3 linked regions of the Sus scrofa genome follow. The protein of the gene in region 3 purifies or fractionates together with the protein of the main gene of each other region. This does not show direct contact. Links are inferred from orthologs where the notes say so. Each region holds a gene or a part of one and is shown on either strand. Other genes may lie near its edges.

Evidence for each region.
Region 1: the proteins of DPF2 (region 3) and ARID1B purify together in Homo sapiens (affinity purification with mass spectrometry; 7 studies listed by BioGRID and IntAct, counting the BioPlex papers as one, with this or other methods). This does not show direct contact. The link is inferred for Sus scrofa from reciprocal best matches to the Homo sapiens genes DPF2 and ARID1B.
Region 2: the proteins of DPF2 (region 3) and SMARCD3 purify together in Homo sapiens (affinity purification with mass spectrometry; 3 studies listed by BioGRID and IntAct, counting the BioPlex papers as one, with this or other methods). This does not show direct contact. The link is inferred for Sus scrofa from reciprocal best matches to the Homo sapiens genes DPF2 and SMARCD3.

Annotation. Positions count from the first base shown.
Region 1 is NC_010443.5:10,225,137-10,228,881, reverse strand, and holds the start of ARID1B (AT-rich interactive domain-containing protein 1B), read left to right. Parts: upstream 1-1,501; 5' UTR 1,502-1,526; coding exon 1,527-3,146; intron 3,147-3,745. UniProt on the Homo sapiens protein: Involved in transcriptional activation and repression of select genes by chromatin remodeling (alteration of DNA-nucleosome topology).
Region 2 is NC_010460.4:5,957,367-5,961,111, reverse strand, and holds the start of SMARCD3 (SWI/SNF-related matrix-associated actin-dependent regulator of chromatin subfamily D member 3), read right to left. Parts: upstream 2,647-3,745; 5' UTR 2,546-2,646; intron 836-2,545; 5' UTR 734-835; coding exon 695-733; intron 1-694. UniProt on the Homo sapiens protein: Involved in transcriptional activation and repression of select genes by chromatin remodeling (alteration of DNA-nucleosome topology).
Region 3 is NC_010444.4:6,879,970-6,883,614, forward strand, and holds part of DPF2 (zinc finger protein ubi-d4), read right to left. Parts: intron 1,539-3,645; coding exon 1,378-1,538; intron 980-1,377; coding exon 872-979; intron 544-871; coding exon 380-543; intron 1-379. UniProt on the Homo sapiens protein: Plays an active role in transcriptional regulation by binding modified histones H3 and H4. Is a negative regulator of myeloid differentiation of hematopoietic progenitor cells. Might also have a role in the development and maturation of lymphoid cells.

The sequences.
Region 1 (3,745 bases), on a different chromosome or scaffold from region 3:
AAAGAACAAAGCATGAACCCTTTTAGCTCTAGGATTAGATTTGATGGATTTATATCATCATTGATTTTATGTTTATTAAATAACATGTTACTTTTTTTTAGTTTTGTCTCACATTGCTTAGAAATGAACTCATATCAAGAGGGTTAATTGTGCACATAACCTCTGAAATACGATGCAGGTATGATGTCATACAGATTTATGAAGACATGAGATAAACCTTTGCAGTCGCTATTATGGCACCAGGAGTTAAATTTCCACGTGCAAGTTGCTGGGAGCATAACGCACCACGCTACGTATTTGAAGACTTTCTCTTCAGAGCGAGGACAGACAAGTGCATGGGAAGGAAAAATGCTCCTTTGGGATTACTTTATGTTTTCATTGATAAGCCTACGTACACATATAAGATGCCTTAAAAAAAGTTATATCAACGTTATTTTTGGGGCAGGTGCAATCAACCTAAGCATTTATTGAGTACCTGCTGTGTACAGGGCACAGCGCTTCTGGAATGCGGCTAACCTTCACTTAAACTCTTTCCTAATTATGCAGTTTAAAGAAGTTGTGGGAATTACATTGACGGCCCGAAATCAAGGCAGAGAGGCTAACATGCTGAAAAATTACATAACTCTTGGGAGAGGCAGTGCTTTTGCACAGATTGCCCAAATATCTTCTTTCTCCGTCGGCTCCTCGTAACCTTTGAGGCCAACAGACAACTTTGTTCCCCAGCCCTTCTCCCTCTTTTGTCTGCTCGTCAGACTCGTTTTCCACCTTTGAATCGTTCCTTTTAGACGTGAAAACAAACACGCGAACGCCCGGTTGGCAAGGAGACGGAGGCACGAGGGGAAAGTGCAGCCTCCCGTCGCCCCACGCCGCCGCGCGCCCGGCGCCGGCCGAGCGGCCCGAGCCCCCGGCCCGGGGCCGCCGGTGCCCGCGAGGCTGCGCCCGGGCGGGCAGGCGGGCGGAGGGCGCCGCGGGCGGCGGCGGCCCGGGCCGAGTCCAGTCCGCGTTTTGCGAGTGCGCACGAGTAATCAGAGAGAAGTGGATAATAGTTGCTCGGGCTCGCTCGGCTCCCTCTCATGCCATGCTGGGCCCGATAGGCTCAGTGAGTCGTGTATTTACCCATATCCGGGTTAGAGAGGAAAAGAGAAAAGTTTCATTTAAACCTGAACTAAAAACTTTCACCATGAAATCACACAGCGGGAACAGGCCCAGACCGTAAGGCGTGACTCCCGGTTCGGCTCCGGCGGGGCCTGTGGAGGGGGAGGGGGCTCGCTCGATTCCCGTCGGGGCGTGTGGATGCGCACAGGAGGGGCCGCAGACTAAAAAGTGGGTTTTATTGTCTCCCCCCGCCCCCCGCCCGGCCTCGCCACGCCGCGGCGATCATGGCCGCGCGGGCAGCAGCGGCGGCGCGGGCGCGGGCGGGCAGCGGCGAGCGGCGGGCGCCCCCCGGGCCGCGGCCGGCGCTCGGGGCCCGGGACCTGGAGGCGGGGGCGCGCGGCGCGGCGGCGGCGGCGGCGGCACCGGGACCCATGCTGGGGGGCGGCGGCGACGGCGGCGGCCTGAATAATGTGCACCACCACCCCCTGCACCCCCGTCACGAACTGAACATGGCCCATAACGCGAGCGCGGCGGCCGCCGCCGCCAGCACTAACAGCGCCAAGAGCGGCGGCTCCGAGGCGGCTCTGAAGGAGGGTGGAAGCGCCGCCGCGCTGTCCTCCTCCTCCTCCGCGGCGGCGTCCTCCTCTTCCTCCTCGTTGGGCCCGGGCTCGGCCATGGAGACGGGGCTGCTCCCCAACCACAAACTGAAAACCGTTGGCGAAGCCCCCGCCGCACCGCCCCACCAGCAGCACCACCACCACCACCATGCCCACCACCACCACCACCATGCCCACCACCTCCACCACCACCACCACGCACTACAGCAGCAGCTAAACCAGTTCCAGCAGCAGCAGCAGCAACAGCAGCAGCAGCAGCAACATCCCATTTCCAACAACAACAGCCTCAGCGGCGCGGGCGGCGGCACGGCTCAGCCCGGTCCCGACATGGAGCAGCCGCAACATGGAGGCGCCAAGGACAGTGCCGCGGGCAGCCAGGCCGACCCCCCGGGCCAGCCTCTGCTGAGCAAGCCGGGCGACGAGGACGACGCGCCGCCCAAGATGGGGGAGCCGGCAGGCGGCCGCTACGAGCAGCCGGGCCTGGGCGCCCTGGGCGCGCAGCCGCCGCCGGTCGCTGTGCCCGGGGGCGGCAGCAGTGGCGGCGGCCCGGCGGCCGTCTCGGAGTTTAATAATTACTATGGCAGCGCTGCCCCTGCTAGCGGCGGCCCCGGCGGCCGCGCTGGGCCTTGCTTTGATCAACATGGCGGACAACAAAGCCCCGGGATGGGGATGATGCACTCCGCCTCAGCCACCGCCGGAGCCCCCAACAGCATGGACCCCCTGCAGAACTCCCACGAAGGGTACCCCAACAGCCAGTACAACCATTATCCGGGCTACAGCCGGCCCAGCGCGGGCGGCGGCGGCGGCGGCGGCGGTGGCGGAGGAGGAGGAGGAGGAGGAGGAGGAGGAGGAGGAGGAGGCAGCGGAGGAGGAGGAGGAGGAGGAGGAGCAGGAGCGGGAGCTGTGGCGGCGGCGGCCGCGGCGGCGGCAGCAGCAGCAGGAGGCGGCGGCGGCGGCTATGGGGGCTCGTCCTCGGGGTACGGGGTGCTGAGCTCCCCCCGGCAGCAGGGCGGCGGCATGATGATGGGCCCCGGGGGCGGCGGGGCCGCGAGCCTCAGCAAGGCGGCCGCCGGCGCGGCGGCGGGGGGCTTCCAGCGCTTCGCCGGGCAGAACCAGCACCCGTCGGGGGCCACCCCGACCCTCAACCAGCTGCTCACCTCGCCCAGCCCCATGATGAGGAGCTACGGCGGCAGCTACCCCGACTACAGCAGCCCCAGCGCGCCGCCGCCGCCGCCGCCGCCGTCGCAGCCCCAGTCCCAGGCGGCGGCGGCGGGGGCGGCGGCGGGCGGCCAGCAGGCGGCCGCGGGCATGGGCTTGGGCAAGGACATGGGCGCCCAGTACGCCGCTGCCAGCCCGGCCTGGGCGGCCGCGCAACAAAGGAGCCACCCGGCGATGAGCCCCGGCACCCCCGGCCCGACCATGGGCAGATCCCAGGTAACCCCCGCGCCGGTCGGGCCTGCTTCCGCCGCGGCGGCCTCGCGGCGCGCCGCGAGCCCTAGTTTCTTTCTTTCCGCGTACTTTTTCTGCGTCTTCTGTCGGGGGAGGCGGGGGCGAGACGCCCAAAGCCATTTTAACTCGCGGCTGCCTCCTTCCGAGGCCGGGCAGCGCGCGGGGTCCGACTGCGCGGCGCGGGGCCCGGGGCCTGGGGAGGGGGTCTGGCCGAGGCCCGGGACGGGCGCCGCGGTTGCCGGTCGCGCAGCACCCGCCCGGCCACCCCACCCCAGGCGCCGAGCCGCGCGTGCGGGAGTCGGGGACCGCGCCGCCGGGAAGCCGTGTGGGCGCCGGGGACCGTTCGGGCAGCTTTTTCAACAAAATAGGCGCTCCCGGCCGGTACGGTCGGGGAAGGAAGATTGACCCCCTCTTCTCGGTTAGCGCCAACAATGAGCTAGAACTGGGAAAAGAATGAGGAACTTTGTCCTACCTCCGGCCACACTACGTTCCCTCTTAGCTTATTAGGTGAAGGCAGGAAAAATAGGTTAGCTTTGTGGCAGCCGAGTGTGTTTCGTAGTTGTGCCCAGCCATTCGGAGATATC
Region 2 (3,745 bases), on a different chromosome or scaffold from region 3:
TAGCCAGGCTGTCTCCTCTCACGCTGCCTGCCGGGAGTTGGCGCGCTCACTACGGGCCTGAGAGCCAGCACCTCTGAGCCGGAGGCCTGCCTGGTGGCAGGGCAAGGCCAGCTCCACCAGAGGCCCTGCCACAGGACGCCACCCCTCCTGCCTGGAACGAACCCCTGTCCGGGTCCCAGAAAGCTTTCGGATGTTCGCCATAGCAGGTTTGGGGGTAGGTTTCCAGAGCCCAAGTTGTGCCAGGATCAGCGGTTTCCTCCCAGCTGTGTGCTGGGGTGTGTGTGTGTGTGTGTGTGTGTGTGTGTGTGTGTGTGCGCTCGCGCACAGGTGAGGGGCGAGAAGGCGTGTGTCTGGGTGTCCGTGGGGAGGACATGGAACAAGCCAGAGGAGGCTCACTTGTCCCTGGCTCCGACTGGCTTCAAGAGGCAGGACCCAGGGACAGTGGAAAGTAAGGGGACCCTGAGCAAGAGGGGGGGCCAGTGTGGAGGTGGCTGCCAGCAGGGCCTGGGCAGAGGTTCCAATTGGGGTAGGGGATGAGAAGAGGCCCTGCCACAGGTCCAGCTCGGGGCAGAAGGGCCAAGAGGGGGCCCAGGGGTAGGACCAGAGGCTGAGAGCCAGTGACTCTCAGTGGAACCCCGAGGCTCCTGCTCCAGGGCTGGCGGGGGTGGGGTGGGGGGAGGGCAGCAGCGCCTACCTGTACCACGGCGGGTGGGTGCTGAAGGCCTGGAGTCATAGGTGGCAGGGTCCTGCAGCGGGGGAGTCATCCAGTGCCCCCTCGGTGCCCGGGCCCAGAGCCTACCGTGCCTGCAGCACCAAGGGCCATTCTGGGGGGGATCTGAAAGGAGAGGGCAGTGGGAGGGACTGGCCAGACCCCGAGCCCCAGAGCCAGACTCACAAGGGCCTGCTGTGTGGACCAGCTCCATGACAAGGTCTGAGGAAGGCAGGAGGCGCGTAGGAAGGGAGCAGGGGGCGGGCTGGGCCAGCCTGGCTGGGTGGCACAAGGAAGGGCAGCGTGACTGCAGGAAGCAGTCAGAGACCAAGGCCTACAGGTCAGGCCTGGAAGGATGCGAGTCAAGGAGCTGGCAGAGCCCAGGCCCTGGCAGAGGCAGCACCTTTGGGGGGTCCTGTCAAGAGTGGAGGAGAGAGCCGGGCACTGGGGTGGGGAGGGCATGACCGGCAGCCAGGATGGGACCTGGATGACTTCTGGAGCTCAAGGATGTCCCAAGGGACAGCTAGGGGTGGGTGGCAGTAGAGCCAACCCGCTCTGTAGTCTGCCCAGCCGACAGTGGGCCCTCCCTGTGTGCCCAGCCTTCGTGGTCACCCCCTGCCAGGGAGGAAGGCGGTGGGCTAGGGTCAGAACCCAACTTGTGGGCAGACAGCAGGTTGGGGGACGAGGAGGGGGCAGTGTGGTAGCTTGGGAGCAGTGTGGGGGCTTGGGAGCAGTTCAGGGGCATGTGCTGGGGGTGTTGGCCAGAGGGTGACTCTGAGAAGGGTGAGGAGGCAGGGAGGCAGTGAGAGGAGGGAGATGCCAAGAGGGGAGGATGTTACCAGCCTGGGGCAGGGGAGGAGGTACCTGGCAGGAAGAGGGACAATCTGAATGGGGGAGAGGTGTTGGGCAAGAGGAGGCCAAGAGGAAGGGGCACAAGGGAGGGAAGGAGGGGCCAGGCAGGGGGGAGGGAGAGGGCCAGGCAGGGGGGAGAGGGGAGAGACAGGCGGGGGGAGGGGGAGGAGGAGGGCAGGGGAGGGGGTTGGGCCAGGCAGGGGTGGGGTGGGGGTGCCAAGCATGGGGGAGGGGGGGAGATGCCAGGTAGGGAGGGGGTGGGGAGGAAAGCTCCAGTCAGGAGCAGGGCAGGAAAGTGCTGGGCAGGGAGGAGGGGACAGGCCACTGGGGACAAGTAGGTACAAGGCAGTTGGGGAGGAGGGAAGGTGCCAGACACGAGGGAGGAGAGGAAGGTACCAGGCAGGAGAGTGCCAGGCAAAGGGAAAACGGGGGAATGCAGGGGAGGGGGAGAGGGGAGGGACCAGGTAAGGGGAGGAGGGAAAGAAGCCGGGTGAGGCGTGGAGGGGGAAGAATCAGAGAGGAGGCTGGATGGGAGTTTGCCAGTCAGGGAAGAGGTGCAAGAAAGGGAGTGGGGGGAGGTGCCAGGCGGGGCGGTGGGGCGAGGGGAGTCAGGAGTGGGGGGAGAGATCAGGAAAGGAGAGGGGGGGAGCCAGGCAGGGAGAAGGGGGTGCCAGGTAAGAGGAAGGTGCCAGGAAGGGGTAAGAAGGGAGGTGCCAGGCAGAGGGAGAACAGGGAAATGCCAGGCAAGGGGAGGGGGGAAGGAAACGCCAGACGGGGGGGGGGGGCGGTGAGGGATGCCAGGCAGGCGGGAGGCGAGGAGGTACCAGGCGGGGGGGAGGAGGGATGCCAGGCAAAGGAAGGAGGGGTGATGCCAGTAGAGGCAAGACGGGTACTGCCAAGCAGGGAAGGCCGGGGCGCCGGCGCAGCGCGGCCGGGCGGCGTCTCCTCCAAGGGCCTGGGGGCCGCGCGGCGCGGGTCGCTCACCTGCTCCCCCGGGACCCCGGCCCGGAGCGCGGTCGCTCGCTCCCTGCTCGGCGCTCGGCTCGGCCCGGCGCCTGCGCCGCTGCTGCCGGGAGCGGGGGAGGCGCAGGGAGCGTCTGCAAAGAGCGAGGAGCTTAATAATGAGTTAGGGATCAGAGCAGTCAGCGTCGCCCCATCCATCCGAATGTGCGATCGCCACGCTTGGAGCACCGCGGCGCGCACTGGCCGGGCCCATTGTGATGTTCATTTAGTCAGTGCACAGATGTGCCTTCGTCTGTAGATGCGCCTCTGCGCCCGCGGATTCACATAGACCTTCAGAGGGTCCGATGTGACCGCAGACATTAGGCGCATGGGACCACAGACAGACAGACACACACACTCTCAGTGGGGAGAGGGCCTCGGTTCCACTCCAGGTTCAAGGACAGGCTCCGACGGATGCCCCCGCCCCGCCCCGTCATGCATGTGCACGCTCCTGGTCTAATCTGTGTCCCTCCGGGCTGTACTACCGATTCCGCGGGGACGCTGGCCCCGGAGAATCCCTTCCTGGACTTGCAGCCAGAGGAGCCGCTCTGGTCACTCCGCAGGCTGTCTCTGTGAATCTGACTATTCTTGAGTACTTCATACAAATGAAATCATTCTGTATTTGCCCTTTGGCGACTGGCTGATTTCACTGAGCATAACGGCCTTGAGCTTCATCCATGCTGTAACGTGTCAGAAATTCCATCCTTTTGAGGAGAAGATTCCTGTTGTCTGCATATATGCAATGCACAGATGAATATATGCCATTTTTTTTTAAGTCTTTCTGGGCAGCACCTGTGGCATATGGAGGTTCCTAGGCTAGGGGTGGAATTGGAGCTGCAGCTGCAGGCCTACACCACAGCCACAGCAATTTGTAATCTGAGCTGAGTCTGCCACCTACACCACAGCTCACAGCAATGCTGGATCCTTAGCCCACAGAGCGAGGCCAGGGATTGAACCTGCATCCTCATGGATACTAGTGGGGTTCATTACCACTGAGCCACGCGGGGAACTCTTACACACCACATTTTGTTGACCCATTTGAAACTGACAGTATTAATGGCCTGAACCTAGCCAGAACACAGATTGGGGCTTGAACCCATGTTTTAAACGAGCACTCACCTGAGGTCTGGACTCACTGAGGTTCAGGTTCTTTATGCTTCCGTGCAGAAGGAATTCAGCGAG
Region 3 (3,645 bases):
ATCAATGCCAGAGTTCCCGTTGTGGTGCAGCGGAAATGACTCTGACTAGTATGCATGAGAATTCAGGTTTGATCCCTAGCCTTGCTCAGTGGGTTAGGGATGCAGCGTTGCTATGGCTATGTCCATGAGCTATAGCTCCGATTCGACCCCTGGGAACTTCCTTATGTCACAGGTGCAGCCCTAAAAAGCAAAAAAAAAAAAAAAAAGTGAATGAGTGAGAGTCTATACTGAGAAGGAGTGGTAGGTGGTGCAGGAACAGAACTCCAGGGACCCGCCTCCTGGCCCACAGCGTCCACTTCTATTCGGGCTGCTGTGTGGCCTCTGGGGGAGGAAGATGGTTTCCATCAAAGCCCCTTTAACCACAGTGTTATTCTTGTACCTTCCGTGCTCGACTGTTTGTCACAGGAAATTCGCCCAGGCTGTCATCATCAACTCGGGGATCTGGGGCACCTCGCTTCTCCATGGGGTCAGTGCGCAGCAGAGCCTCTAAACTACTGCCGTCCTGAGAGATCAGGCCCTCCTTCTTCAGGGTCTGGTCTGTGTCTGCAAGCAAGGTCAGGGTTAGGTGAGGCTCATAAAGGCTGAAAGAGGACCTCTCCAGGTCTACACAGGACTAGACTAGCCACAAGCCAGTCCCTGTCTCCTGGTCTATGGCTGCCCAGAAACCAAGGCACTGTAGTTCACTTGGCACCATTAACTTATCTGTTTATCTGTCTCCTCTATTAGACTGAGTTATTTAAAGAAAAGAATCTCATCTTATTCATCCTATTATCTTTAGGACCTAGCATGGGGCATGGAATACAACAGGTGATTAGCAGGCATCTTACTATGCTTCAGGCCACGCCCTTGCTCAAGGAGGAGTGCGCTTTACCTGGTTTAATAGATGGGAAGGAAAGCCTAGGATCCTCAGGAGGGTGAGCGCGCCGCTTTTTCCGCCAGCGCCGGGCAGGGTAGGAATACAGCTGCCCAGAGGCCAATCCTGTGGAAGGAAGAAAGAAGTCAAGCCCCAACCCCCAGTCATAGAAAATGATAAATACCAAACACTTTCTATGTGAGTAGGCTCTGACTGAGTTCTAGAGCAAGGGAGGAATATGGACAGGGAGGGCCTCGCAATTGGGGGAGGCATGGTTTATGGAAAAGAAAAACAGATGTAAGCTCAGGGGCCTTGGCTAACACACAGCTCTCCAAAACCCAACAGGAGCCTCAGCGGTGTAGCCCTGCAGAAAGCAAAGATGCTTCATCCTTCCTGGACGGGCTTCTAATCATGGGAAACCAGTCACCCATGGGTGTAAAGCAGTAGGGAAAACCCTTTCAGATGGCTCATCACCTAAGGTGAGGAAGCTTCTTTCTCCTCGTGCTCCTGAGTGGGACCCTCACCTGGACCCCGGTGTCGCTTTTCCATCCAGATATAACAGTTGCTTTGGGCTACCCCAGTCTGTGAGTCCAAGAAAGGCAGGCGTACGCTGCGCTCAGCGCAGAGGCGGGCATTGTAATTGTGGCACTGCTCCATGGCATCTTTGTAATACTGCTCCCCAAGGCTGCAGGAAACACAAAAATCAGGGGTGTGTGTGTGTGTGTGTGTGTGTGTGTGTGTGTGTGTTGGGGGAGGGGTGTGAGGCGCTGTGCATTCCCTTTCCTTTGCCACCTGCTTCTCTAGAAGGCTCAAGGGACTGGGAGACTGTCACTCTGCTTTTATTTGCTTCCATTTCTGCCTCATGGGACTCCAAGCCCCTTCACTATGCCATTAAGAGGAAAGGCACTTTACAAAAAAATTACTGTCGGGAACACGTGATTTCATCATGTCTCATCAGACCTTAGTCTAACCCATGAAGAAGGGAAGAAAATAATGTTCATTCTGTGCCTCTCATGAGTTCAACCCTGCGCTAGCCAAGATGCTATTTCTCTTACTCCTCAGGATTCTGAGGAGAGGTTACCTCCTTTTTACAAATGAGAAAAGAGTTCAAAAGGACTGGGGGACTTACTAAATTATAGTTAGCAAACTACATTTATATAAACTTTATCTACATAAACTATATCTATACAATGAAATTCTACTTAGCCATAAAAAAAGGAAGCTCTTCATGTACTAATATTAAACAATCTCCAACAATCTCCAATCTACCATTTATGCAGCCAAGTGGTAGAAAAGAAACTGTAGGCCTCCAAAAAGAATAGCCAGGTGACTAGGGGACTTTCTCCTATGTGCCATTTTGTATCTTTTGAATTTTAAAGTAGGTATTTATTCAACTAATTCTACATACTAATTTCACAATCAATGGAAAACATCTGAAAATACCTGAACACTCTTGAAGCCTAGTTTCTACTGAGTACCATAATTCTGGGACAAAACCTGTTTGCTCGAACGCCCATCCTAGGCCCTTCTTCACTCTCACACCATCAAATTTTTAAGGAAAGGAACCTTCTGGACTCAATTTGAGATGTGAATTTTCTAAGTGCTTAAAAAGCTGCAAAACTGCACATCCTTCAAGATTTAACAAGCAGGAGTTCCTGTCGTGGCGCAGTGGTTAACGAATCCGACTAGGAACCATGAGGTTGCGGGTTCGGTCCCTGCCCTTGCTCAGTGGGTTAAGGATCCGGCGTTGCCGTGAGCTGTGGTGTAGGTTGCAGATGCGGCTCGGATCCCGCGTTGCTGTGGCTCTGGCGGAGGCCAGGGGCTACAGCTCCGATTCGACCCCTAGCCAGGGAACCTCCATATGCCGCGGGAGCGGACCAAAGAAATAGCAAAAAGACAAAAAAAAAAAAAAAAAAAAAGATTTAACAAGCACTTTAGTATTGGAGCTTAAACTAACTACAGTGATTCATATTTATATATTCGATCAATCTTTTTTTTTTTTGGTCTTTTTAGGGCCACACTCACGGCATATGGAGGCTCCCAGGCTAGGGGTTGAATCGGGGGTGTAGCTGCCAGCCTACACCACAGCCACAGCAACACAGGATCCGAGCTGCATCTGCGACCTACCCCACAGCTTACGGCAACGCTGGATCCTTAACCCACTGAGCGAAGCCAGGGATCGAACCCGAATCCTCATGGATGCTAGTAGGGTTCGTTAACCACTGAGCCATGACAGGAACTCTATTCAATCAATCTTAAACAAGCGGAGGGCAGAGATGACCTCATCCCCACAATATCCTCAGTACCCTTGAAGGTGTCTGGGACATCTTGACCCGAGTCGGGAGTAAAAAGACCTGGTTTGGCTGCAAGTTATCACGTAAGCACAGACATGAGTCAACCCACATGGACCTTCGGTTCTTGTGCTATAGATTGGGGAGGCTGAACTTGGATAAGCTCTGACATATTCTACAAGAGGGAGACTCCTAGCATGAAAAGCTGAACAGAGCAAATTTCTGTTGCTTATGTCCATAACTCAAGCTACATCAACAAACCCTGCTCTGGAATTTGAGGGGGGCTTTCACTGGGCAGCCACAATAGACCACTAAGGCACAGCTTAGCACGTTCCCAGAAACTGAAAGCCACACACTGCACACAAAGCAGTGAGACCACAAGATAGTCAATGAGCTGTAATGACTGTAATTTAAGGCAGGCATGAATCCTGTGTTGGAGAGTAGAGAGAAGGGAACAGGCTCATATTTGCTCGCCTTTAGGAGGCAGCCCTGTCTTGACTA